Linked DNA regions of Rhinolophus ferrumequinum. The protein of the gene in region 1 interacts with the protein of each later gene in a biochemical or structural test. Links are inferred from orthologs where the notes say so. Each region holds a gene or a part of one and is shown in the gene's direction. Other genes may lie near its edges.

The links.
Region 2: the proteins of DLG3 (region 1) and GDA form a complex in vitro, tested with the Homo sapiens proteins (2 studies listed by BioGRID and IntAct, with this or other methods). The link is inferred for Rhinolophus ferrumequinum from reciprocal best matches to the Homo sapiens genes DLG3 and GDA.
Region 3: the proteins of DLG3 (region 1) and NET1 interact in a test that uses a peptide from one of them, tested with the Homo sapiens proteins (2 studies listed by IntAct, with this or other methods). The link is inferred for Rhinolophus ferrumequinum from reciprocal best matches to the Homo sapiens genes DLG3 and NET1.
Region 4: the proteins of DLG3 (region 1) and FRMPD4 interact in a test that uses a peptide from one of them, tested with the Homo sapiens proteins (2 studies listed by IntAct, with this or other methods). The link is inferred for Rhinolophus ferrumequinum from reciprocal best matches to the Homo sapiens genes DLG3 and FRMPD4.

The regions. Positions count from the first base shown.
Region 1 is NC_046284.1:2,238,699-2,246,157, reverse strand, and holds the start of DLG3 (disks large homolog 3), read left to right. Parts: upstream 1-4,441; 5' UTR 4,442-4,797; coding exon 4,798-5,154; intron 5,155-7,459. UniProt on the Homo sapiens protein: Required for learning most likely through its role in synaptic plasticity following NMDA receptor signaling.
Region 2 is NC_046295.1:38,297,116-38,304,176, forward strand, and holds the start of GDA (guanine deaminase), read left to right. Parts: upstream 1-4,059; 5' UTR 4,060-4,238; coding exon 4,239-4,361; intron 4,362-7,061. UniProt on the Homo sapiens protein: Catalyzes the hydrolytic deamination of guanine, producing xanthine and ammonia.
Region 3 is NW_022680355.1:11,537,875-11,544,872, forward strand, and holds the start of NET1 (neuroepithelial cell-transforming gene 1 protein), read left to right. Parts: upstream 1-3,989; 5' UTR 3,990-4,125; coding exon 4,126-4,253; intron 4,254-6,998. UniProt on the Homo sapiens protein: Acts as a guanine nucleotide exchange factor (GEF) for RhoA GTPase. May be involved in activation of the SAPK/JNK pathway Stimulates genotoxic stress-induced RHOB activity in breast cancer cells leading to their cell death.
Region 4 is NC_046284.1:117,977,047-117,984,483, reverse strand, and holds the start of FRMPD4 (FERM and PDZ domain-containing protein 4), read left to right. Parts: upstream 1-4,427; 5' UTR 4,428-4,656; intron 4,657-7,437. UniProt on the Homo sapiens protein: Positive regulator of dendritic spine morphogenesis and density. Required for the maintenance of excitatory synaptic transmission. Binds phosphatidylinositol 4,5-bisphosphate.

The DNA.
Region 1 (7,459 bases):
TGGTGGGCTGCGCCCCTTGCAACTAAAGATTGAAAATGGCGACTGGACTTGGAGCTGAGCTGCGCCCTCCACAACTAGATTGAAGGACAACAACTTGGAGGTGATGGGCCCTAGAGAAACACACTGTTTCCCAATATTCCCAATAAAAATTTTAAAAAAGAAAAAGAAAACAGCAGACTGACTAGGAACTCCAGTGACCTGAACTCACGGTGGTGAGTTCCCTGCATTTTCTTGTTGTCTCCTATGTCCCAGACTGGGTTCCAGAAAAGTGAGCAGCCTGGAAATCCTGTGGGCACCAACCAAAAAAAGCCTCAATAAAAGCCTGCTCTCTCTAGCCAAAAGACCAGGAAATGGACAGCGTAGCCAGAGAGAAAACTGTTAGATAATAACCACTCTACTGCAACCAAACATCACAGAAAAAACTGCATCCCTACACACACCAGCAAAGGCCAAGTAGAAATTCAGACTTTCATCAAGCTCCCCCATGTTCTCTGGGGTGGTGTCAGAGAAGGTCTAATAGGGAGCCTGGGCTTCCATCCCCACAGAGCAACAAGGCCTCCCCTCCCCACTGGGTGGTGTCAGAGGAGGCCTAGTGAAGAGTCAGGACTTTTGTCCCTGCCCTCTCCCTCCTCCCCTCCCTCCCCTACTCCTTAATCACCCTCGCCCCCACCCATGGTCAGTGGAAGCCACCTGGGGATCAGGAAGGAGGTACCTCAACCTCTCCCACGTATCGGTGGAGAGCTGGAACTCCCACCCTGCCCAGCAGTAAGGAAGAGCCCCCATTTGAGGTATCAACTGACATGGAGGGGAGAACTTGAAATTCTGTCCCTACCTGGCAGTGGCCCTTCCACTGATGGCTACAGTGTCAGAAGAAGTCTACCAAAAACAAAGATTTAAATAAGTTCCAGAATTTTATAATATAATAGCCAAAAATGTCTAGGATGCAATAAAAAATCTCTCTTCATACGAGGAACCAGGAGACTCTCAACTGAATGAGAAATAACAGATTCCAACACCAAGATGACAGAGAGCTTTCAATGATCTGAAAAGGATTCTAAAGTGGTCAACGTTAAAAAGAAACGTTGTGCTTCAGTGAGCAGTTACACACAGGTTGAAAAAAAAAAAAAAAAAATAGGAAGTCTTAGCAAAGAAATAGGAGATATCATGAAGAATCAAATAGAAATTTTAGAACAGATGAATGCCATAACCGAACTAAAAAATTCAGTGGATGGACTCACCAGCAGGGTGGAAGAGGACGGAGGAAAGAATCAGAGAACTTGAAAATAGAACATTAGAAATTACCCAATCTGAATAGTGGGAAAATAGACTTAAAAAACAAACAAACAACAAAAAAAACACAGAGCCTCAGACATGTGGGACTATAACAAAAGACCTAACATTTGTGTCATCAGAGTCCCAGGAGAAGAGAAAGAGGGTGGGGATGAAAAAGTCCTCAAGAAACAATGGCTGAAAATTTCCCTAATTTGGCAAAAAACATAAACCTACAGATTCAAGAAGCTGAAATTATCCCAAATAGGATAATTTCAAAGAAATCCATGCCAAGACACATTACAATCAAACGTTTGAAAACAAGACAAACAGAAAATCTTGAAAGCAGCAAGAAAGAAACAACACCTTACCTACAGGAGAAAAACAATTCAAATATCAGTGGATTTCTCATCGGAAACCATGGAGGCCAGAAGGAAGTGGCACAATTTATTTCAAGTGTTGAAAGAAAAGAACTGCCAACCTTGAATGCTATATCTAGTGAATATAGCCTCGGAAATGAGAGGGAAATCAAGATATCCTCAAACAAAGGAAAGCTAAGAGAATATATTGCCAGCAGATCCACCCTAAAAAAAAACGGTTAAAAGCAGTTTTCAAAACAGAAAGGAGCTATCAAAGTAGAAATCTTAGAACATCAGGAGGGAAGAAATAATAGAATGAATTAAACTGTAAGCACATAGACTTTCCTTTTCCTCTTGAGCTGTCTAAATTATGTTTGATGATTGAAGCAATAAGTATAACACCATTGATGTGGAGTTCAATACATGTAGTGGAAATATTGAAGATAATCATACTATAAATGGGACAGAGGAAAGAGACTTAAAGGGAGGTCAAGTTTCTTCTTTCCTCAACTTGATGAAATGACACAAGTAGATCTTGGTGGTGATAAAATGGTTCTGTATCTTGATTGCGATGGTTGTTACAGAAATCTCCATATGTGGTAAAATGGCATAGTACTATACACACATCGAACCGATGTCAATTTCCTGATTTTGATTTTGTACAATAATTATGGAAGATGCAATCATTGAGGGAAGCTGGGTGAAGGGTATACAGGCCCCCTCTGTACTATCTATGCAACTTCCTTGTAAATCTATAATTATTTTTAAATAAAAAGTATTTGTTTTTTAAGATTGAGGCTGCTTAGATTAAAAGTAGCTAAAGACACAAATGTAATTTGAGAACCTTGATTAGTTTGTGATGTTAAAAAATATAAAAGGCAAATTGGGGGAAATTTGAATATAGAACTGGATATTAGATGATATTAGGTGATATGAAATATTGCTTATTTTCTTTGATGTCATAATAATATTGTGGTTATGTAGGAGAATGTCTTCATTCCAACAAGATGCATGCTGAAGTATTTAGAGAAGTGAAATGAAATCTGGAACTTACATTTGAATGGTTCAGAAAGAAGTGTAGGTCGATCGATAGAGCAAATATAACAAGACATTTACCAGTTGTTGACTCTACTTTTTTCTTTTTTTCCGCAGCACTTCTCATCATATATACTGTGTGATTCATTTATTTATTGTGCTCAGTTTTGTCTGTGTTCTCTCACTAGAATGTAAGCTCCCCAAGGGCAGGGATTTGTTGTGTTTTGTTCTGTTTTCTGCAATATCCCCAAATCCTAGAACAGTTTCTGGCACATAACAGGTGCTCAATGAATATTTGTTGAATTAAGAATGAATTTCTGTATCCCTAGGACCTAGGTCAAGGTCTTGCACAGAGTAGGTGTGCAATGATTGTTGAACTGAAGTGAGATCTAAGTTCTGTTGTACTGAAGTGGTTCAGAGCATGGACTCTGGAGGCAAATGGCCAGGATTTGCATCCTGATTCTGTCACCTCCTGCTGTGGTACCTAGCTGTGTTAACAGCTCTGAGCCTCGATTTCTCGTTGGTAAAAATAGGGTAATAATAGTGGCACCTTGGTAGGGTTTTTGTCTGCATGCAAAGCATTTAGGACTTTGTAAAGACTCAATAATTGGTAGCTGATGACAAAACAAGGACAGCAAAACTCACAGAAACACAGAGGAAACTGATGGTTACCAGATGGGAGGGAGTTGGGGGGCTGGGTAGAAAAGGTGAAGGGATTAAGAAGTACAAATTGGTAGTTACAAAGTAGTCACGGGGACGTAAAGTACAGCATAGGGAACATAGTCAATGATGTTGTAATAAGTATGTATGGTGCCAGGTGAGTACTAATCGGGGGGATCACTTTGTAGTCAGAAATGTCTAACCACTATGCTGTACATCTGAAACCAATATAATATTGTATGTCAACTGTAGTTAAAAAAAAAAAAAGAAGAGCAAAAAGATAGAATCCTCCCAGCATGCCATCCTCCTTCCATCCCCCAGCAGGCTGAGCCAGGAGCAGCTAAGGGGATGTCCTTGGGCAAGTATCCCAAGTTCTTCTGCAGACCCCAGGAATGGTTCCTCTTACTTCAGACCTCTTCCTGCCTTTTTCCTCCTGCCCTGGTCTCTCTTTCCTCTTGGCATCCTGAAGCGCTTTCCTTCAACCTAACTGTGCGGGAGTGGGGCTGGGGGGAGACAGGAGTCTGTGGGCCAGGGACAAGAGCCTAGAGCTTTCCTTCCCTCCGGTCCTAGGCTTAAGTCCTTCACTGGTGATGGAAGCAGGTCGAGTGGGAGGCTGACAGCATTTCAGGGCCTAGAGGTTGAGAGAACAATAGTCCTGAGGAGGGGGCCCCCGACAGGAGAGCAGCCTCGTAAGCCGCCCTCTTCCCTTATCCCCTGTTAGGAGAGAGCACTTCCCCACCGTCCCTTCGTCCGTTGTGCTGCCTCAAATCTTTACTTCTGGTGGCCCCAGCTCAGAGCACGCCCGGGGACCCACTGAGCGTCCCCCTGCAACTCCCTCTGGGAAGTGGGGTGGGGTGGAGTGGGCGGAGGATGCGCTGAAATTGGGGGTATGAGGACACGAGATTGGGGACTGAGTTCACGCGTGGCCCAAGTCCCATGCGACCGCCCTAGGGTCAGCGGTACCTCAGCCATCTGGGGGGTTGGGGCTGAGCCTGGGGATCCACTGCCCCTGTTCCTTTAAGGAGCCGCTGTTTAGCATTCCTACCGCTGCCGCTGCCGCTGCCCGACTCTGCACGCTGATTGGCTGGAATCAACTGAGACGGGAGCCAGGGAGAGATGCTCTTGACTCCACTCAGATCCATCCTGGGGACCAGTGCAGGAGCGGTCCTCGCAGCACCCATCCTCTGCCCAGACTCCCGCTTCTTGTTTGCCGCTGGGCCTCGGCCCAGAAGCCATTACGGGCGACACGGAGCCGCCAGTGCTGGAGGGGGAGCCGTGGGTGCGGGGCAGCGTTGGGGCAGAGGCCCCAGGACGCCCGCCCGGCCCCAGGCCCCGGTCCGCCCGGGCGCCCCCACGGGTCCCCCCCCCTTCCTGGTCCGAGCAGTGTGAGTGTGCCCGGGAGCCCGGCGCCGGCGGCGGCGGCGGCGTGGAAAGCGGCGTGGGCTGGGGGGTCCGGGCCGCGGGGGGCAGTGCTATGCACAAGCACCAGCACTGCTGTAAGTGCCCCGAGTGCTACGAGGTGACCCGCCTGGCCGCCCTGCGGCGCCTGGAGCCTCCCGGCTACGGGGACTGGCAGGTGCCCGACCCCTACGGGCCAGGTGGAGGCAATGGAGCCAGCACAGTTTATGGGGGCTACAGCTCGCAGACCCTGCCCTCGCAGGCGGGGGCCACCCCTACCCCCCGCACCAAGGCCAAGCTCATCCCCACCGGCCGCGATGTGGGGCCAGTGCCCCCTAAGCCAGTCCCGGGCAAGAGCACCCCCAAACTCAACGGCAGCGGCCCCAGTTGGTGGCCAGAGTGCACCTGTACCAACCGAGACTGGTATGAGCAGGTATGGATCAGCGGAGCTGGGGGGGTCGTTGGGGCAACCCCAAGGGGCTGGGGAGTGGGGGCCGAGAGGCCTGGGGTGCAGTAGGGCTTCCTGGGGCTGCAAGCCGGACCAGGAGAGGCGGTGGGAAATGTGTGCTTCCTTGTGTGTGTCTGTTTGGGGGTCTCCATTTGGAGGGGGTTGGGAGGAACTGTCTGTGTCAGGGGGTGAAGGTATGGCGGAGGGGCACATTTTCCTGTGCGGGGGAATTGGGCTGTCTCAGTGTGGGGGTTTAGCAGTGTCTCTGTGTCTGGCAGGGGGCGGGAGGTTCTGCGGGGGCTGTGTGTGGTGTGTCTCCACGGCAGGGGAGGAGGGGGCACGGTGTTCTGCGTAGGGGGACGTGTGCGTTGAGGTGTGTGGAGGAAGGCAATGGTGCTCCTTTGAATCTATGTAGAGCCCATGTGCCAGGCTCCCTGAGCGTCCTCCCTCCCTGCCAGGAGTCCCTCTCCGTCCCAGTCCCTTTGTGTGTGAATGGGCACATGGACGGTGTGAGGCCGTGTCTCTGAAGGTGGAGGTGTCTCTGTGTGCCTGTGTGTGTGGCTCCATGTATGTGTGTGAGCATGTGCCTGTGTGTGTGTGTGTGTGTGTGTGTGTGTGTGTGTGTGTGGTGTCCCTGGTTAGAGGCTCTTGACAGGCAACAGAGGGGAGGGGGAGGAGGAGAGAGACACGTCCCAAGCAAGGCTGAGAGACTGAGGACGGACTCTTTTGTCCAAGCAGCTCTGAAGTGTGTGCTGGGGGGGGGGGGGGTTGAAGCCAGCTTCCTCGCTCCAGAGCAGGCATGGTGCCCTGGTGCAGGGACTGGCCCCAGTGGGGCATGTGCCCCTTGGGTCCCCCCAGATGTGGAAGAGCTTGGCCCCCCAGGCCTGACTTGGCACAGCTTGGGAACCCCTGGGTGCTGGGCACAACTCTGGCTTCCACTCCCAGCCTAAACTGCCAGCTTAGAAAATGGAAGAAGCATCTGTGGGAGAAGCAGCAAAATGGAGGCTGGGCCGGCAGAGCCAGGTCCCTGGCACGCATGGCGGAGGGCCTGTCTGGTTATTCAGCTCTGCAGCACCCAGGGTAGGGGGAGAGAAGGAGGGTTTGCTGTTGAGGGCAGGTGCTGATGGCCCCAAGCTGGTGACCATTCTGGCTGCCTCTGTCCTCCTCTGGGGATAGGATGTGCTCTCACTCAGAAGCAAAGGTGAGGACTTCCTGCAGAGAGGGGTCCTGGGTTCTGGTCTTCTGTCTGTCTACACTGACTGCATCCCGTGTCCCTTGCCTTGGCCCCTTGCCCTCTGCAGCGAGTCCCCGTGTCTCCTTTTCCTCTCTATCATGGGGCACTACCCTTGCAAACACTCTCTCATGCTTGTCCCGATCAACTGAGAGATGAGTGACAGTTCCAAGGCTGGACCAGTTGGCCAAGGTTTGTCTGCCAGGGCTGATCCCTGGATGGCTCCTGGTCCTGGGAGCAGGGTCCCTGAGGGGGGCAGTGGGAGGGTGGACCAGTGGCAGCTGGATCCTCTGGATGTCAGTGGTACTGGGCTTGAAGCATGGCTTATCACATGTGGGTACACATGGTACCCCAGATGCATGCAAGAGCTGCATGAGTGTCCTTTTGCCTGTGTTTCTTTCACATGGTATTTCAGGCAGCTGTGTCGGTTTGGGGACTCTGAAGAGTCATCAGTTCTTCCTCCTGGGATCAGGGACCAGAGTGGGGCTGCAGCTGGAGTCCTCCCCCCAACTCCTAGGGCTGCACGGCATAAAGTTCCATGACCAGACCCAGGAAAGGTGGAGGCATGACTAGCCAGCCCTCTCCCCCTCTCCACCTTTCTGCCTCTGGAAGCCAAAGCTGTGTGGGAGGAGGAAAGCAGAGCAGGGCATTTGGAGGAGCCCTCATCCTGGATTCCCAGCTCTGCTCTTCAAAGGAGACCTGGGGTCAGGAAAGGGGCAACTCAGCCAGAGAAAGATGTGGGATGGGTGCCAGGTTACCTGGGGAGAGAGGCAAGAGGGCTTCTCCATTCGTGGGGATGATGAGAGTGGGAGTCAGGGAGCAGGTGCTACTTGTCTGTCCAGAAGTATGACAGTGGCCACAAGTATATCTTGTCTGGGAGGCCACCTCTGTGGGCTGGTCAGAGTAACCCTGCATTCTGACCCCTTCCCTTGCATCTCTTCCCATGGCTACTAGATGTTGAAGGCCATGGACTCTGCTGCCCGTCAGTCCACGGGCATCAGCTCCTCCCTCGTGGGGAATCTTGTCTACTCTGCTCCTGTCCCGCCCCTGGCTTGGCTT
Region 2 (7,061 bases), on another chromosome or scaffold:
CTCTTTCTTAACTTCTAGTCCCAATGAATTACTCACTATTAGCGCACACACTGACTGTTGCCTCTTATTTTTTAATCATTGAACTAGACGCAGTAGAGCCATCTCTTGAAATTCAGCATTTATATAAGTCTGTCAAGGAGCTCCTGTTGTCCAGGCAGTGTGTTAGGGGATACAGAAAAAGAAAGGAAAAAAAGAGGACGTGGTCCTTTAGAAAACCACAGTCTTCTGGAGGAGACAATTATAGTACCTTACAAACTCAGAGGACGAGCCCTTAATACCTGAGAGAGACAGGAAGTGTAAAGATTTCCTGGAGCGGGGTGGGAGTGGACAATTAAGCTGAAGGATTTAGCCAGGGGAGAGTGGGTAGTGAAATGAGGCAGGCATGCTACAAGGTAGCATAAAAACACTGCAGTCAGAAAGACGGTGAGCAAACCTGATGCATAATATGTGGGAGACTGGAAGAAAAGCCTGAAGAAGCAGCTAGGGCTTCGGGAAGCATCCATACCATGGAGAGTCTTTTCTTTGGAAGGAAGTGATATGTGGGGGTAAGGCACTGAAATTGCACACCGTTGTTGGATTTCCTTTTGGGAAACTGATTTGAAAGGAGCCGTTAATGACAGGGAATAGTGAGACTAGAGCAGTGCAGTGAAATGCACATTGAATAATAATCTCTAAGGCGCTTTCAGTTCTAATATTACATGAATATAAACATGGGCTATAGAAAGAGCTAAAGAATAGAAACTGCTATTTCCTCGAGGCTTTAGAGGCACAATAAATACCATTTGTTCTCTACTTTGCCCTAGTCAGAATAACCATATTCACCAGAAACTGATTTTGTGATGTGCTTGGGCTGTTTCAAAGGTGAATGTATAAGCTTTGCACTCCTTTCTTCCTCCAAACCTTAGTAGCCTTGAGAACATTTCCCTGGGGATATCAGGATGGGCATCAAAATTGCAGGAAGACCAACAATTCAAACGAAACTGCAAGTCTGAGGGTGGAGAAGAGGTGTGAGTAGGTCAGGTACCCAAGATTTCCTGATGGTGGCTGAGCTGAGACTACTGGATCCTGAGTGAGGAGCCTACAACTTGGCTGGGAAAGGAATCGAAACTGTTCACCCGGGAGAGTGAACATTTTACCTGAGGCTTGCGAATGTCATGTCACCTGGAGGCCCATGGCCATTCCTTCTATTTTAAGATTAACTTCATTTAGAACTACACAATTAATTACTCACACCATAAGCCACACGCAACATTGTCAGTAAACATCAAACAAAATTCCTTAGCAGTTCCATTACCTCAACTGGACAATAGCCATTGTTTGTGTTACCTTTTTAATTCTAGCCATTATGCCTTATAGGCGTTTCATGATTTTAAACAAGGATAAATGCTATTTTAAAAAAAACCCAATATTTTATTATATGTAATTCCTGTGAGGCTACATAGTTCCTTTATTGTTTCTAGTAACTACTTAACATTCTACTAAGGAGATACATGCTAATTCTCTAAACTAATCTCAATTGTTGGCCATTTAGGTGACTTTCATTAAAAAAAAAAGTTAGCTACGTCTGTTTGAGTGAACCAATCTGTCTTTTTAGAAGCATTTAATTGACTTCTCTTTTACCATAATAGGCAGACATTTTCTGCACTTTTCTTTCCGAGGTTTGTGTCTATATACAAACAGGTCAAGAGGATGTTTTCAGTGTGCTGGCTGTTGGGACTGCAGGGAGGGAATGTGGTTTGCAGAATCAGGAGAAAGTGACTGAGGAAGGGCAAACATCCCCACGAGGCAAGTGCAATGCTCTCGCTTTAAGGTCTTCTCCTTTGGGTCTTTGGCAGGGTGGTCAACCACACGGTGTGCCTGTGACCGAGGAGTTTCCTGGATTTTGAGACTTTCAGTGCTAAAACCAGGAAAGACCCCCCTAAATGGGCATGAGTCGGTCCCCCTACACAGTGGCATGAAGGGAGTGAAGGAACTGAGAAAATAATGAATCATTTATATAAGCTAGCCCTGTGTCATAAAAGCATCAGAAAATCTGCTCATGCACAGCAATGAAACATTTATTTTTTTATGTAGGAGCCAAAAATGGATATTTATCTCAGGTTATTGCTCTGCTCCCCCTGAAACCATTTCTTCATTTATTCAATAAACATGTATGAAACATCAGGCACTGTTCAAGGCATAAGACCTCTGTTTTTGTGGTACTTTGGTGTGTGTGTGTGTGTGTGTGTGTGTGTGTGTATTGGGGAAGGGAAGCAGAAATATATGAAAAACACATGAAATACATGAGGATGGACTATGATAAATGCAATGGCAGAAATCGGATTAATGGAATGGAAACCTCGGGAGGGAGTGCTACTAGCTTGTTGGTGGGGGAAGGTTACTCTGAAGAGCTGACATTTGAAGCAAACCAGTAGGAAGAAGAGCTGGTCGTATGAGGATCCACGGGAGCATTAGGGGGAGCAGCATGTGCAAAGGCCCTGACTGGAAACCAGTTGGTCTTCTCGGAGGAACTCAGTAAAGGACTTTGTGGATGTCAGGTAGGGATGAATGCTGACCTAGAAGCAGTCTTAGCAACCACCAGTTTCCTTGGCAACCAGTCCAGCTTCCATTTTCACAAAGGAGGATGATAAGACTGCTGAGGTCCATGTGCATTGACCACGGTCTCTTGGTTCCTAATCCAGCACCCTTTCCACTAAGCCACGCCACACTGCCATTCCCACCTCCTTGGCTTGAGTATTTAATTGCTTTGTACACTGAAGTAAATCAAAGAGATTCATTCATTTTAGGTATGAGAAAAATTGAAGTTGGAATTGTTTGTGGATGGACACAAAGGCCAAAATATTGGCCTCAATGTAAAGAGAGTAACTTTGGGGTCCAGATTAACCTCCAATGGTGGGGTCCCCATGTCGTGAGCAGGCAGGACATGGCTAACAAAGTAGCAGTCTCACACACGTTTGTGTCTTTCCATAATGTCAGGCTTCATTAAAATAAAACCATGGATCTAGTCCCATTGGCTCAGTTTACCACAGGCATCAACCAAGGCTCCCGCCAAAAGATAGTCTCCAATAGTCAAGGTAGAGCGGTTTCATGTAAGAGGGTCATACAGGTTTGCAAGCAATAGGGTTAGGTAAGGTGAACAGGGTCGTTTGAAAGAAGGATGAGAGAGAGTCCGGTGTTCAGCAGAAGTCCTTACCGCCCTGCGGTGTGCAGCAGCAGGCTTGAAGCCCAGCTGCTGAGACGGTCAGGAGGCAGGGCTTCAGGCCTCCATCTGGAATGAGTGCAGATGAGGCTGGCAGCTCCTCAGTTGAGGCCTGAGCAATGAGCGGTCAGAGAGCTTCGAGTTTAGGCTCAAGACTGGGTGTGGTGCACCCATCTGCAGTCTGATAAAGCCGTCCAGGTGGTCACCCTTCACCCCGAGTCTGGAATTATCTGGTTAAGACGTTCACTGGATATACCTTTCAGGTAATGCTCTGGCATGACTGTCATTTTGTGACTGACATAACTATCAAAATTATTAGAGTCCATTTTGTGTTCATTATTAATGCTCTATACACCCCAGTAATTCTGTAAGACACATTCCCAGAACATCAGGTGAGGACAAATTCTGCAGCTCGCCAGAAGCTGAATATGAAACTGGTGAGTAAGTTTGGCAGCCCTAAGTTACCTTTCACTTTACCTTGTGTCAGTTCAGGCCTTGTGGGTGCTACAGGTTGAAGAGTCCAGGGTTTGGCCACAAATAGCCGTAAGAGTTTAAAGGGCAGAGAAAGCAGGCAGATGTGATTCTAGGTATGACAACTAAAGGAAGGTGGAGGAGGTTGGGGGGTAGAGAGCAAAAGAAAATGTAGTGCCTTATTCAAGGTACAGGACTGGGATCCTGAATCCTCCCGTTTCTTCCTTCATCTCCCGCCCCCTGGGTGGGTGACAGCCGCCACGGGTTAAAAGAACCGCAACGTGAGCGGTGACTGGCAACTCAAAGAGTTAACACACAATCAAAACTAACGCAGGGGAGGAGAGAAACACCACACCCCACAGGAGCGCGGAGCCAACTCCCGAGAGAGAAATTCTATTGGCGTCGAGAAGCAGGGAGCCAGCCCCTGGGCGCGGCTTGCAGGGGGCAGGCGGTCGTTGAGGGAAGCGGAAACAAGACCAGGCTGGAGCCGGTGGCAGTTCTGCAGTCTCCGGCTTCCCGGTGACCCTCTCCGCGTCTCCTCCCAGTGCGCCTGGCTCGGCCCGCTGACATGTGTGCCGCCCCGATGCCGCCCCTGGCGCACATCTTCCGAGGGACGTTCATCCACTCCACCTGGACCTGCCCCATGGAGGTGCTCCGGGATCACCTCCTCGGCGTGAGCGAGAGCGGCAAAGTAAGCGGTCGGGCGGCGGGGCGCACCCCGAGCGGCGGGCAGACAGGTGGCAGGCATCCCGGTGGCAGGCATCCCTTGAGCTGCGCTGCGGGGCCAGGAGTTCGCTCCGTGCGCGGCAGCGAGCGCCGCGGCTCCGGAGTTGAACTTGAGTGTTTGGCTTTTGGGGAATGTCAGAAAAATTCTGGCGCTAGGTTCGTGAGCTGGCCAGGAAGTAACGTGTTCCCAGAAGCTGGGAGCCTTGGAGTCCCATGGGTTGGACAGCCGTTCAGGCTGCAGTGGAAGGGGGAGCAAAGCTATACCCTAGCGAATCTTAAAGAGATCATTAATAAACCAGAACATGACTTCATTCATCTTCGTATCTCCGGACCCTGGCAGAGTGCCTGACCCAGGCTAGGCGCTACGTACATTTATTGTGAAAGAAATAACGGAAGAGAGGTCATTTGATCAATATTTTTTAGCCCTGTCAGTGCATGGAATAAGGAAAGAACTGAATTCATTCACCTGATAATTTAACAGACAATATACTTATGATTCAGACTACTTGTAATACTAGAAAGGATAATAGAGAGATATTATCCATCCCCTGCCCCACCACACACCCATAGCCCTCTGCATCAAAACAAGCAGTTCCGTTTTGTGGTTCAACGTGTCTTCTATGAGTGTATCTTCTATACTTCCTTTTTTCCAAAATCAAGACTTCTATAAACGACATGGGTAACTTGATGTCTAATATTTACTATTCCATAACACACCGATAGTAACTTTATCAGCAGTGTCCTGGCCAGTTTGACAAGTAAAAGCCATCTCATTTTTAGAAGAAAAAGTAAAGCTGGGTATAGGATGTTTTTGAGCTTTTCCCCAGCAGTTTGGTTAGCAAAAGTACAAGTGTTGTGACTTGTCAGCTTGGAGATACTATTCCTGACTAAAGATTCTTCCGAGTCAGTGACGGTTTTGAATCAGGACTCTTACATTTGGGAATAACTAAACCCCTGTTTTTTTATGGTACTTAAAAAAAAATATTCTCTCTGTGCACACTCAGGGAGCCTGCTGTTATGTTTCCAAGGTGATGGAACTCTCAGAGCTCCCCCAAATGGGAAGACTCGCATAAACCCTGAGACTGATGAATTGTTGCCTTATGTACCTGACCCTCAAGTTTCAGGGAACGCTTATCACTCAGAGCATGTCTCAAGAGGCAAAGGAACAGAGACTGTTAACAGGAAAGATTAGAGGTGTTTGCCTAATCACAAGGAGCTGTTAAACTCTTAGGATTCTTTTTAAAAATCAATTTCCCATATCCAGAATTTTAATTGGTAAGCTAGCAGACAAGGGAGTGGGTTTGAGGACTGGCTTTAACCAGTGAAGATGAATAAGAAAAGGAAGTAATTTATCGAGAAAATTACCTTTTCTGGGTGTTGTACAGAAGAAGAATAAGAGTGTCCCAAACATGTAATTAGTAGTTGAGTCAGGAAGTCTATTCGTAAGGAAGGAACATATTGAAGTTATAAATTTAGAAAAATGTCATTTCCCCACAAGAGAACATTAACTAGGAATTGAATACAAAGGTGAGTTAATCAAGTGGCTTAGATTTATGGTATAAAAATGCTCTAATCAGTGAGTTGGTAACTGCCTCCTGCTCTCTTCCTAGGTGCAAGGCAGTTGATTTCTGCCTGTGTGTAAAGGGAGGGCACGTCATATACAGAGGGTGCCAAAAAATGTATACACATTTTAAGAGATGTTATGTATATAGCAGTAGTTCGCCATAATCAGAAGTGTCTGGACGCTGACGGTAACCACTTTGAGCACCTCTTGTAATTGCAGAAGTCAAACGTGACTATCTGTATTACAATTTTCATACAGTTTTTTCCTTTCTTAAAATGTGTGTACATTTTTTTGGCACCCTCTGTATATATCAAGACTTGATTTCCCTCATTTGAAAGTGGGAATGCCTCTCCTTTAAAGTTACTGGGATAAATATTTAAAATTTTTCAGAACTCTAAACAGAAAATTATATCCCCATGAAATAAATATGAAGAATCATCATGATCTTTACATTTTTACTGAGCTTCTAAAGCGGTTCTCAAACGTTGGGATGAATCATAAACATCTCGGGGTGCTTGTTAAAATGTCAATTCCTGGGCATCATCCTCAGAGAATCTGAATCCATAGGCCTGGAGTGGGCCCAGCCTATGGGTTCCAACAAAGGTCCCAGGAGATCCTAATGTAGGTAGTGAGTGCATTACATGTTGGGTAACCACAGCATATAGGCTGTTTGATGGAACCAGTTGTGGGGGGATCTGGGGTGCTCGGTTCTCCATTACAAGCCCAGGTCTGGGGTAGCATCTCCGAGAGGGGTCATGACCTCCTCTGTCCTTTTCCCTCTCCCTCCTAGACCTCATCCCTCATTTTATACAACTTCATTTAGGCCCAGAGAATGGTAATAACTGACCACTTTTGATTCATTAATTTAAGCTCATTCAAAATTAGGTTAATTAAAAAAAATTCTCTAGTCAACCTTTTAGCATTGGGCATTTTGAATTCAGAGTTAGTTTTTCTGCTCAAGGAGCATGGAGCTTTTCAAAAGAAAGATGCCAGCCTGTATAATTCACCTGCAGATATTTAATTCATGTTGAGACAGTGTGTGCTCAAATATTACCCAATTACCTGATTCTTCCCATATGCAACAGAGTCAGGTTGACTTTA
Region 3 (6,998 bases), on another chromosome or scaffold:
GCTCTTTTGGTGGACTACCTGGAGAATTATTTTGTCCAGTCAACAACATATACATACATAAAAAGTCTTAAAGGAAAAAAGTGTGTGTGTGTGTGTGTGTGTGTGTGTGCGTATGTGTTCTGCTTCTCTGATAGAACCCTCACTGACACACAAGGTGGCTCTCTTTAGGTCCTGAAAAAGAGTGAAAAAACTTGCAAGCATTAAAGTTTGGTGTCTACGGTTAGGATTTCAAAAGTCCTTTCTTAAATCTTTTTTTAATATAGACTAGCCAATTACCGGCTAAGGTAATGAGAAAAGGAAAATCTTCTAAGAAAATCTCGTTAAAAAAAAAAGAAATCCTCAGCTCTGAGAAATAATTCCGAATGATGTTCTGACACTTCAGAAGTTATCTTTGCTAATTCTTTGTTGGCAGCCCTGACTGCCCCAACCCAAATCATTTTCCATTGTCAGTCCCACACCCACAATGCCCACATTTCTCTCTTTTTCCTCCCCATCCTCCTCTCCCATTACTAGCATAATTCAGTATTTTAACGCTTCACTGTCCTCTTTGTAAGATAGTGTAAACATACCATAAATTAGTCTCAATCGACTTCTAATTAATAGTGCTTTTTCTGGCCACATATTTTTCTTCTCAAGTTTTAATCTCTTCTTAAAACCTACAGTAAACACTCCAGTTTCTAATTTTTTTGTGTGTCTCTCATTGGAACATCTGAAAACAAACCTTTAGAGAAAATAGATGATTGACAGATGCAAAACAATGAAACAATTTCCCCTCCCCACCACACACGATAGATTTTAAGAAATAGCAAACCTGATTTCAAATTTTCTGCTCCATTATGCCTATAAACACTCTTCAGGTTAACAGGTAAGATTATTAAAAGTTTTTTTCATAAAATAAGTTTACCGTACAGGAAGCTTCCCATTGGCAGCTTAAGATATCATAGCTTCGATATCTTTGAAGCATTTTTCTAATTGTGATTCTTCTGCAAAACAGGAGTCTGATGAAAGAACTGAATATCTATGATGTAGAGTGGTAAATCAGATTGTTGCAAGTGGCAGAAGACAAAAAAACACGGAGTTCACGAGAAGAACTGTGAATTGCCAGCATTGTCCCTCTAAAACCCATTATGAAACAGCTGGTATATATTGTGTGACCTTACTGGTTGCTACAACCAGCATATGTATCACTTGGTAAGCAATTTTACAAAAATAGAGTTTGACTTATTTAGATAATGTAAGAGAATAATTTTTGGAATTATTGATTTACATATTAACTTACACTAGTATACTAGTTGTTGAATATGTTTAATATCAACCTACATGATGAGTGCTGTCATTGAGTATGGCCGAAGATTTTGGAAGTGATCTTTGAGAATGTCCCGCAATACAATATTTGTAAATCTACGGTTGAAGAAATTTGAGTAATGTTTACGTCCAATTAAGACAATGGGAATATCTTCTCAGGGAGGGAAATCTAGAGTCTGATTTTTATAATATATATGAAAGCTGAAACTTAATCAATTCCCTCAAACCTTGCCCCAAAGAATATGTTAATAGAGGTGGATGGTTTGCATGGAGCTGGATAAAAGAGGAGATGCAGGGAACATTTGTCATATATTCGGGCAGAGTTCTAGGCAGAGTAAGATGTTGCATATAGAGACAGGGATGTTCAAACACCAGAAAGTTTACCTCTGATTAAAATTTGCCTCCTATTAATTTTTTCTCTAGTATCCAACACAGGGCCTGGTGTATTATAATAGGAGTTCAATAAACACTTGTGAATAATTGAAGAAAATATAATAGTAAGTTCCCAAGTATCTGAAAATTGGAAAGAGGTTCTCAGCATTATTCTGAGAATCCCCGCTCAGTTGATGTGGGGATTCTCCACACCGAGGATCCCCACATCAACATCCGGGATTATCTATCACTTTGGGAACTGATTATTAAAGTTCCCAGAGAACTGACCATCTCTAATTATACCATCAAAACCAGTTTCAGGACCTGCAGAGCTGACAGACTCTAAATTCTGGAGCTCTCACTAAAATATAAGGTTGAAATGATGAAATTGCTGCTTTGAAAAGGTCAAATGTTGGAGATTTCACAAGGTATGATCTAAATGCGTACGTCCTATAAAGCTCCGTCTGGGTAGAGATCAACTCCCTAGGTGGCATGTCTGTGTTGTTTTACTCTAACAAAGCAGTACTTTCTTCTTTAATTTTGGGGGGTGGTAGGAAAAGGTAAAATAGAGGTGGATCTTAACTATGGGCATCTTACTCCCTAACTTCCTACCCTCCTTAAAACTAAAACATGTTTTCCCTTGTGTTATAAATGTGATGTGAGTTCAGTACCTCACCAGTAAAAAAAATTATAAATACAAGAAATTTTAAAAAATTTAATACCCAAAGTCTGATATCCTAGAGACATTTTAATACATTGATTTCATATGTTTCCTTTGTTAAGTCTCTTATGCATAGCTCTGAATACACAAAATATAACTTTATATTCCATTTTTTAAAAAACTTTTATTTTGTGTGTTTTTCCAGGACCCATCAACTCCAAATCAAGTAGTTGTTTCAATCTAGTTATGGAGGGCGCAGCTCACAGGGCCCATGCAGGGATCGAACGGGCAACCTTGTTGTCAAGAGCACTGCACTCTAACCAACTGAGCTAACTGGCCACCCTATATTCCATGTTTTATTTAAAAATTACAATATACTATTCTATAACACACTTCATAGTTAATTTTTACTGGCTGAAAATATTCTTTCCAGTGGATCAACCATAATTAACCATTTCCCTATCACTGTTTATTTAGATTGTCTGTACTTTTTCTGATGCCATTAAATAACAATGCCATCAATAGCTTCCCTTTGTAGGGGAAACACAAGTTTACCCTCAGGGTGTCCAACTCAGCATGAGAGTTAAAATGACAGATGACAGATTAACAAAGGAAAAGCAAACAGATTTTACATGAACATGGGAGCCCCCAGAGGAAAATGAAGACCCAAAGTGGCAAAATCTAAGTGCTTATACACTAAGACAGAGGAAGAGAGGTAATTGGGGAAAAGTAACTAAAGTAGATGGAGAGACCAAGGGAAGATAAGAGTTATTTTAATAAGGTCTGTTTGTACAGAATTTGGTCTCCCTTGACTCCCCGCCATCTTTGCCGATAAACATGTTTCTTTCCTCCTGGTATAGGGAGGGCAGCTTTCACGTGGCTTTTAGCTCCTGCTTTCAGGAAGACACCGGGAGGCCAGAGTGTCCTTCCCACACTTGGTGTTCTTTAAGTGCCTGTAGTTCAAAATGATCCTAATGCCAAAGTAGCACATGTGGGGCTGGCATATTCTGCCACCCTTCACTGCACATATAATTTTATTTCCTAGGACAGATTCCCAGGAATAGAATCCCAGGAATAGAATAGTGTCAAAGGAGAGGTTACTTTTAAAGCCTTGGATACATAAAAAGCGATATTTAAAATCAAAGAATGTACTATTTAGCATTTTTTTTATTTGAGAAAGTCCTTATTCGATGTGCATTTTGCTGCCTTCTTTACTCTTTTGCTGACTGTCTCTTCCGCACTGGGAGACAGAAGGGCTCATGATTAGATTTTACTGGTTTCCTAGAGACAGCCCTGAAAACACATTTCCATTACCTTTGGTAACTGGGGATTTATCTTACATGAATAATTTAGCAGGTAGGTGGCCAATAAACAAACCTCATCTTAAGTCATTACTTTTAACCTCTCTTGTGCCCTGGCCTGCAGTGAAAGTCCTAGTAACAGTGAGAGGTATCAGGCCTTGAAGATTCAGGAATGGAGTCAGAATTAAATCCAAGGCCACTCACTAATCTGCAGGGATATTCCCTCCAACCATCCTTCCTTTCCTGCTTCTGCTTGAGCAACAGGAAGGGTAGAGAGAGGGGAGGGACTCGTTTCCTAGCAACTGCCCGTTGTCCCCTGATTGGCTGGTCGAAACGCGGCCGCCATTTTCAAACCCCGGAAGATGGCGGCGGCTGCGGCGGCGCGCTCCTGACTGAAACTTTTCTGCGAGCAGAAGTGGTCCGGCGCGGTGCCCGTCCCTGAGGGCCTCCCGGGCACCCGGCCACCGCCCCACCCCCCTCCGCGCCATGGATCCCGAGCTGGCGGCCCAGAAGCAGCCCCAACCGCGGAGGCGAAGCCGCCGGGCTTCCGAGCTCTGCGCGGGCGGCGCCGCGGGGCCTTCGCCGGACAACCCCCGCCCGGAGCCTGCCGGCAGGTGAGCGCAGGGAGCAGCAGCGACTGGGGACCCAGGCAGGCGGTCCGAGGCCCGGGAGGGGGACAGGCGCCGGTCACCCTCCTCCTCCGACCTCCCTCAAGTGGGGAGCGCGGGCTGACCGCGGGGGGCCGGCTCTCGGCGCCAGCCTGTACTGGCTGGGATGGGGGCGGTTCCGAAACATGCAAATGAGGAGGCTGAACCTGTCCAGGAGCCTGTCGGGTAGGGGGAGAGGGATTGTCACCCGAGCGCGGCGACTTCTGACAGACACCCAGCAGTTAACAATGCCGGAGCCCGACTGCCTGACGTGAATCTTGGTTCTGTCACCGACAAGTTAGGTGATGCATGGCCCCAGCTCCATTTATGAAGTGGGAGTGGTCCTAATACCTGCCTTGTAGAGTCGCTGTGAGGATTGTGAGTTAATGCAGATAACTCATATACGCATCTGAAGTGCTTAGAGTAGTGCCTGGTCCATAGTAAGCATTCAGCAAAATTTGTTGCTGCGATTATAGAAAACCATTGACTCATCCATTTTAGTATTGAAAGAGGAGGCCATGGAAATTAATTAGTACAGCTTCTTTTGTATATTAGGCTTTTTAAAGCTCAATGAAATGTCACGGCTAAATACTGGGCAGATTTTGTCCTGTATTTCCAAACTCCTAATTTAATGTTCTATTTGCCATGCGTCCTCCACTGTATGTCTCGAAAGATTTGTGTTAGTAATATTAATCAGTGAAGCAATTACTTTGACTCACATAGCCACTTTCAAGGAGCTCCTCTTTGCAAACATAAATATTTTAATAACATTTGCATAATTCTGTTTCTGCCCGTTGGGGCCTTAGGAGAATCCATTGAACATTACATGTCACCTGTATGGCTGGAATATAAACATATAGTGATCCTTTTAAGGGTATAATATTTTCCTTTTAACAGACTCTATCCATTGGTAGAAAGATAATACCGTGACCTATGATGTACCAGTAGTGACAGTCTTACTCTTTGAATTTTGTTTTTCCAATAAAATTGATGACTTGTAGAATGAATATCCAGGGTTTTAAGGTAAAGTCTCAAGCAAGGCTAGCTGTTTTATAACTCAGATCTGAGGGTTCCTGTTCCTTTTAAGGTAACTTAACTTTTTGGGTGGACTGTTTTTCAAAACATTTTAAATTACATTAGGGCCTATAAACAAAAAACTGAGCCAGGACTGTCATTATTATTACTGTTTGTTAATATTAATAGTTGCTAAAAATAAAAGGATGTCCACTAGCTCCTAAGACTATTTGCTTCCACATCAGCTGGCTGCACTTTTTAACAGTTTGAGATGTAATTTGCATATCATAACATTCATCCATTGTAAGTGTGCAATTCAGTGATTATAAGTAAATTTATAGTTGTGCAACCATCACCACAGTCCACTGTTAGAACATTTCATCACCCCAAAGATGACCTCAAGTTTGTTGACAGTCCCCACTCCCACCCCCAGGCCTAGGCAGCCATTAATCTGCTTTCCATCTCTATAAATTTATATTTCTGGATATCATATAAATGGAATCATGCAATATGTAATCTTTTGCATCTGCATGTCTTTCCTGTTATCCATGCATCAATATTTTCATTCCTTTTTATTGCTAAAGAGGATTCTACTGTGTGAAATGAATATTCCACATTTTGTCAGTCCATTTACCAGTGGTTGGAGATTTGAATTGTTTCCAATTTTGGTTATTATAGATAATGCTGCTAGGAACGTTTACATGCAGGTCTTTCTGTGGACATGTTTTTGTTTCTCTAGGGTAGATTCCTAGGAGTGGAATGCTGGGTCACTTGGTAAACTTACGTTCACCTTTTTAAGGAATTGCCAAACTGTTTTTCAAAGCCTACTAGATTTTTTAATGATGTATGTTTTTAGATTTTTTTTTATTTCCTCACTGTTACTTGCTGCTGTCATTGTGCCTCGTACCCTTGCTCCTGAATTTGATGTTGTGGGCAGGGCAACCTGTAAGTATGTTAGAATGGCATAATACAAAGGCTCTAATGCGACGTTTGGAATGTATGTGTGCTGGTTTCTACATGCTTAACTGTGTTCTAGACTAGAGCTGTTCTAAGCTGTATCTGTTGTTTGGGACTTTGAGACAGGTGACAAACCCCACGTGGTAGGGGAGATATGATTATCAGCTCTCCCAGAATCTTTATGAGGTAGGAGAAGAGACAGTTCCTTAATAACAAAGATGCTGAGCAGTCAAAAAAGCAGGAGATGTCTATTACATGAGACTGACCCGAATAAATGAATTGTTTCCATGATGATTATCTTTTTGTTTTGCCTGATTTGCAAAGAAACTGAGAACCCGAATAGTTAGCATCCCCAGAATCAACAAATGTTTAACAATAGAGAATAGTTTACTATTTCTACATTCTTTCTACATTCATGGTAAAATGTTAATCTTAACATTTTTTAGTTTTTTTTCAGTTATGTGTAGTATTTTGTAATTAGGCTGAGGTATTTGAGTTGCACTTGTGGTGTGTGGGGGCAACTTCCTTAGCCCAACAGCTACATTTCAGTACTATACTGTATTCTTGTTTTCACATAGGAAGGAATTCTCAATAGATCTGGGGGCATCCCAAATAATTTTCAGTTACACTTTGTCATATTTTGGGTGTCCCTATGCCTCAAGTCTTCCTTCTTGCTAATTTCAATGACTTACACTGCTATAATCCTATCATTAGTCCTTCTGTTTTGCTTGCTTTTTAAAA
Region 4 (7,437 bases), about 120 Mb from region 1:
TATTAAGGCATAATGTACAGGAAGTAAAAAGCAAAGACCTTAAGTGCACAGTTCAGTGAGTTTTAACAAAGCAATACATCCACGTACCCATCGCCTCTATCAAGATATGGAACATTTCTGTCTCCCCAGAAAGATCTCTCATGTCCCTTTCTAGTCAGATCTACCTCTGATTCTTCCACCACCAACCCCAGGCCAACGTACTGATCACTCCACGTACTGATTTTGAGATTCATTCATGTCATTGCATGTTATCAGTAGTCCGTTCCTTTATATTGCTGAGTAATATAACGTTGTTTGAATATACCACAATTTGATTATGCACTCACTTTTTGATGGACATTTGGGTGTTTCTAGTTTTTGGCTACCATGAATAAAGTTCCTGTGAACATTTATATGCAAGTCTTTGTGTAGACATATGTTTTCATCTCCACTGGGTAACCATCCAAGGAGCGAAATACCTATAAGTAAGACTATGGAAAGTATATGAGAAAGTGTCAAACTCTTCCAAATATGTCACACCATTTATATCCCCACCAACAGTGTATAAGCATCCTGTTGCTCTGTATCCTGGCTACCACTTGTTAATGCTAACCTTTCCATTTAAACTAACTGGGTTTATAGTAGCATCTCATTGTTTTAATTTGCATTTCTTGATCACTAATGACACTGAGTATCTTTTCATGTGCTTATTGGCCATCTATCTATAATCTTCTTTTGTGAAGTGTTATTTTCAAGGCCCATTTCAAAACCATAGTTGTTTGTCTTTTTTATTGTTGATTGTAGCAGTTCTATTTAGCATCCGGATTCGCGTACTTTGTCATGGGTTGTGTATTACAAATCTGATCACAGCCTGTGGTTTGCCTTTTCATTTCCTAATGGTGTCTTTTGGTGAGCAGAAGCTTTTCATTTTGATGAAATGCAGTGTATCACTTTTTATTTTATTGTTAATGCTTTATGGGTCACGTTTAACAAAATCTTTGATTACGACAACATCAAGAAGATATTTTCCTATGATTTTTCTCAAGAAATGTTAGGGTTTTTGCATTTACATTTAGGCCTATGATCTTATGAAGGTATTTCTATTTACTTCTTACATAAAAATCTGTCAGAGACATGAACAATTTGTTTCACAAAACATCTCTTTGTGAAAATAATGGCATGCAAAACATATGTCCTAAAAATAAGTTATTCAGAGTGTCCTATTGAGTTGCAATCCTGTATCGGTAAGCAAGTGATTTAGAAAATCAGCTGTCTTTCAGTCTGTTGCTAATTATTATAGAACTCGCTTTGTAATAACATGGGAAAGTGTATCTGGCTGAATTCAGTTTTGCTAACAAAAGAATGTGCGGTCTTCTACATCCATTTCTTTGACACAGATGCATTTTGCAATTCGAAGTAATTTCTTATCAATGGCATATTGTTTCTAGAAGTCACTATGGTTTTGGAAATGTCTACCCTCAGTGTCTATAAAGAACAACTCATCAGCCTTTTTCTTTTCTGAGTGGCACGCGGTGAACTGTCCAAGAGGTGCTGAGGGTGGTCTGTGTCAGCATCAAGGCCACCAGTTACAGATCATCTCCATCTTGATTTCCAAGCAGAAACTGCAGGAAAGTTCAGTTGGCAGATGGAAATGTTTCCCTCCCTTCCTCTTTTTTCCATTCATCAAACATCTGAAGGCACCTCTGGTGTCCTGGGGTAGTACACGTCATTAGAGGAGCACCAAGGATGCTTCTTGACCATTCAATATAGTTTTCTTATTAATGTTTACCTACATGAAATCTGTGAATAAATAGCTTTATCAGTCAAAGTTCTCTAGAGACACAGAACCAATAGGATATATTTGCATATATGTGTGTGTGTGTACACACACCCACACTCGCCCCCACACACACACAAAAGAAATTTATTCTAAGGACTTGCCCCACAAAATTGTGGGGCCTGGCAAGTCTGAAATCTGTAGGGCAGTCTGGCAGGCTGGAAACTCAGGCAGGAGTTGATGTTGTAGTCTTAAGTTCTAAGTGTATAGGGTAAGCCACCAGTCTAGAAATTCAGGCAAGATTTCTCTGTTAACAGTCTTAAGGCAGAATTCCTTATGCTCCAGGAAACCTCAGTTTTTGCTCTTAAGGCCTTCAACTGATTGGATAAGACCCACCCACAGTACAGAGTGTAATCTCCTTTACTTAAAGACAACTGATTGTAGATGTTAATACCATCTACAGAATACCTTCACTAAGTTAGTATTTGACCAACCAAGCAACCGTAGCCTAGACAAGTTGACGCATAAAATTTAATCATCACAATAATATTTGGCAGATTCTTGACTATTAGGTCATTTGGAACCAAAATATTTTACAATAAAGCCCAATTTTTTCAAAAGCAATATAATTTATCAGAAATCTTGTCATAGAGGATTGCATGCATTCAAAGCTTTGTATAATGAAAATATTGTTGCTTACTTGAAAGTAAACAATGTCTACCATAGGCATACAGTAGTGGCTTCGTTTCTATAGAAATGGTAAAGGGGGCGTAGGGTCCTTTCACTTAGATCCAGGTAGCAAATACACTTAGCAGTGAATACCCCAAGCCTTATCGTTTCTTCTGGAAATAAAGCTTAAGTGTTGAAACTGATAAAAACCAGACTGTTCTGTGTTGGAGCTAGAGCTCATTCTGCCCTTGCCTCTCTCCCGGAGCCCCAAAGGCTTTTCAAACTCCATCTTGTCTGTGAAACCACCAATGTTTCATCTTACACAAACTTTCTACAGGGATAATACCACCCTGTGGGTGGCTGGAAGCTGCTAGGCCTCCCTCCTGGGCTCCTTTCTCTACCCTTACCCCGTCAGATCAGAGACTTTATCCAATCTCATGGTTTTGGATACTATCTGTATGCTGATGACTTGCAAATTTATTATTCCAGCCTAGACTTTTCTGCAGCCCCCGCAGGCTCAAACTTATGATGTTGCTATTTGATTGTCTAAAGGGCATCTAACCATTCTGGTACCCAGTTCCTGGGGAGGGGGAGGGAGACGGGGGTTGGCTACACCACCAAGCAATTCTCTGAGAAACTATGTTTTTTAAATGGGACTTGAAAATACACTTCACAAAAGTTTATAGGTAGATGGCCAATAAGACCATGAAAAGTCGTACAATTTCAGAGTATTTAGAAACTTACAGCAATTAGAGACATTGCGTGTCTTTTCATTCTAATAATTTTTTGAAAGACTTGTATTTTGAATGTGTTTTTTATTTCATGTTTTCTAGTGATTCATTGTTGTTGTATTTACAAAGGTCTTGTTTTGGACATTTTTAAACATTTTGTTTTTCACCACAGAAGTTTGAGAGACACTATTCTACAGCAAGAGGCTGACAAACGACAGCACTTGGACTGGCTGCCTGGTTTTGCAAATAAAGTTTTATCGGCACACAGCCATACCCATTTATTTCTGTACTATCTATGGCTGCTTTTACATTACAGAGGCAGAGTTGAGTAGTTGTGACAGAGATCATTTGTCCCACTAAGCGGGAAACATCCACTATCTCACCCATTATGGGAAAAATTGGCTGACCCCTGTTCTGCTCTGTCTCCCCAGCTGGATTGAGCTCCAGTGGCTCACAGTGATAACGTGCTTGCTGACATACCTTCTATCACGTTCTTTCCCCTCCCTGTCACATTTTCTCATTCCTTGCCAGGGTTTCCTAGATCTCCCAAATGAACACCTTGTACTCACATTCTTGACCCAAAGTCCACTTCTGGGGGAACCCAACCAATGTGCACATGATGTCCTTATTTTTCTAATCCCAGGCCAAAATGCTAGCAGAGTAGGAACCACTTTCTAGTGTCCACCTCAGCACGGCAGTTAAACTATCACACGTATATCAATTATAATTAAAAATAAATAAAAAATAGTATCAAAAGAAAGTGCAAAAAAAAAAAAAAAGCTATCACACTGCACCCCTCCCCACTGTCCCGGGTCTTCTGCAACACCCTGTGAAAATTCAACTCTGTGGGCATGAATTTTTCTGATTCATTTGCTCTCACCACGGGTGCTGGAGGAGAGGATAAAGAGGAGGGTGAGGAAAGAAAATCCCCTCTTGCCCTACATAGGATACTCCCTTGTGACATTAGCAGCCTGCTTGGAGTCAATCCCCAGGTGTCCATGCACCTGAGTAGAGGCCAGTTGTTTTCAGCCTCAGAGGACGTGCCCAAGTCATTGCCCACCCTCACTTTGTCACTGCTGCTTTCATTTGTCTCTGCCTGCTCCTCCTAATTACTTGGGTCATTCCAGATTTTAATTCTGTCTTCTAAAGTGTAACACCGCCATAATTAGGCCATATGTTAATTAGCAAGATGACGTCTTGTCACTCGTGAGAGATGTGGATCATCCCAGAAAGTGCCATAGAAAGGGGAGTGAAGCGGGAAGAGGAAGTCTGAGGAGGCTGCAAGTAACTCTGCTAAGCCCAAACTGACTAGAGAACAGGAGAAAATGGCGGGATGCAAGAAGGGGAGAGGATGGGGTCACACAAAGAAAAAGGGCTAGAATTGACCTCTTTTGCACTCCAGGAATGAGATGGAAGCCAGGAGGCATGTCTGATGCCAAGAAGCCACCAGGGATGGCAGAATCTTCTGAAGGACAGGAGGTGGACAGGGCTGAGGTCAAGGTGAGTGTCAGGCATACTCCCAACTCTGATCCTAGATGCCTGTGGCGATGCTGTTCAAAACGCAAGGCTAAACTCGGCCTCTATGGCCACTCTAAGTGTCCTCCAGGAAATCTGAAGGAGTAGGGTTCTGGTAGCCTGGGGACTGTTTCTATCTGCTATTTGTTAACTGAATGTTGGCTCCCCGTTTTCTGTTAACTGAACTTATTTTCTGACATTCTTGGGATAAGAAAGTTGGAAAGAGGATTGGGCAGGATATGATAATTTCCTATTTCAGATAGTGTCACTTTATCACTCGGGAGACAATTTTCCAGGAAACTGATTACTCAGGGAATTCATGATGGGGTGCAATGACGTGAATTGTAAAGATATTAACCTCCTTGCAGTCTGCTGTCAAAACATGATGTGATGAGAATTTGTTCTGTCATCACCCAACTAATGGATGAAAGGGGCTAGGATAGTTGTTTTACGTCGTGTATTTGCCTGCATTTCAAAAGGCATTTGACACAGGAACTCTCAATGCATACCAAAGGGGAAATTTTGAAGGTAAAGTTTGTGTTAATGATAATATTAGTAAGTATTATTATTGTCATTGCTGATATTTGTTGAGTTCCTAGTATATTTTAAACCTGTACAGGCATTGCTTCTAACACGTCTGACAACCCTTCAGGGAAAGTCTTATGATCCCCATTTAATTTCAGGTTCACAGACATTGAATCGTACTCAAAGATCACACTGTCAGATGAGTGAAAACTGAAATCCATGTTTGTTTGTTTGTTTTTCTTGAAATCTAATGTTTGAGCTCTTGTCAGTAGACCAGGGTCACTATACTTTTTCTGTAAGGGGCCAGATAGTAAATATTTTCAGTTTGCCAGCCAGATGGTGTATGTTGTGACTATTCAGTTCTGCCGCTGTAGTGCATAGGCAGGCAGAGACAATACCTAAATGAATGAGTGTGGCTATGTTCCAATAAAACTTTATTTACAGACACTAAAATTTGTTTTTAATATATTTTTCACATGTCATGAATTATTATTGTTCTTCGGAACTTTTTCCTGTTTAAAAATGGTAAAATCATTCTCATGGGCTGTACAAAAACAGGTGGCAGACCCGGTTTGGCCTGCGGGCTGTAGTTTGCTGACCCCTGTACTATAGGAAACTGTCTATCTAACAATGACTTAGGAAAATAATGATGCGAAAGCAACTGAGCTACATATTTTACGTAAGGGAGCCAAGTCAGCTACAGGAAAACGTATCAGCCCTGAAGCTGTAACAAACAATAGTTCTCATTCTGGCTCTCCCATCACAAGAAGTGTATAAATTTAGGTCCATCTCAAAAGCTTCTGAGTCTTCCTCTCATCTCCCAGAGATAGATCCCTACAGTTCCATCATTCTTTGATTCTAGTCATAGTATGCATGCATCGAATGATTTCCATAAAATCAGAATTCGAATCTGAGACAATTCCTTGGATGGTGCCAGATTTCAATCTCCAGTCCTGCCTTTTCTCCCAACTCCAGGTTCTTATATGCAAGTGTCTCCACTTACTGTTAGGTGCCTCGAACTTCACTTGTTCACAAGCAAACTCTTGCCCACAAACATGTGAACAAGTGAAGTTTGAGGCACCTAACAGACATAAGTGGAGACAGTTGCATATAAGAACCTGGGGTGGGGAGAAAAAGCAGGACTAGAGATTGAAATTTGGGAGTCATCAACATGTGGATTGAATCTGGGTATATGATAGCATTGAATAAAATCTTTTAGGGCAAACTTTCCATTGGCATTTGGGGTCAGATAATTGTTTGTTGCGGGGCAACAAAAGGCTGAGGATGGTCCCCAAGGACTCCAACTGTGGAGGTCAGAAAGAGGAGGAAGAAATAGGAAAAGACACTGAAAAGGAGTGGCCAGTGAAACAAGAGAAAAACTCAGATGTGGGGTCCCAGCGTCCCAACTGTTTGGGCTGGACTTGGCTTGATAGTTGATGAAAGGCAGAGCGTTACAAGAAGTAATGGTCCATAGCTCGGGGCTGAGCCGCAGTGAACTCCACCATATTTCCTTTATGGGAATCTCCCCGCCCCAGTGGCAGGACGGGCACATGAAGCATTGAGGGCATACATTTTCTAACTGCATGGAGCCTGAAGATAGCGAAACGGACAGTGTTTTCTAGTGGGGAATTAAACGAAATCGGAGGTTACAAGTAACATTTAGAAACCAAAGGTAGAGACATGTTTCTTCTTGTTTTATTTTTAGAAATAATTCCTGGAGGATAAATATTGTTTGGGTTCAGAAGAAAAACAAGAGCAGAAATAGAGTTGCTATGGTTTTGAGGGAATGCAAAAGGGACTTCCGACCTGGAGCTTTTGCCATTCTGGGCTGCAGGGTGGATCCTCTTTGCTGTGTGATCTCTTCACTCACTTCATGCCTCATGGTAGTTAACAACAACCAAAAAAGTGAACAGATTGTGAACTTTCTCTTTATACGTCTAAAACCTGAAGAGCTATGACTTATTAAAGGTACAATATAAAGGTTAAGACAACCAACTCCTCATATGGAAATTAATGACATTACACAAGAGTATCTCTAGCCACAGGCCTGATACCGAAGGACCAAAAGGAGAGGGAAATGCTTTGTCTTCTATTGTTAAGTCTTCTCACTCCAAAATGGAAATAATCCATTTATCTCATGAGATTATTATGTAAAAGTGCCTAACAGTGCTCAGGGCATAGTTGGGCTTTCATCAATGTTTAGAAATAATAACAACGCGTATCCTGGTTATGGTGATCATT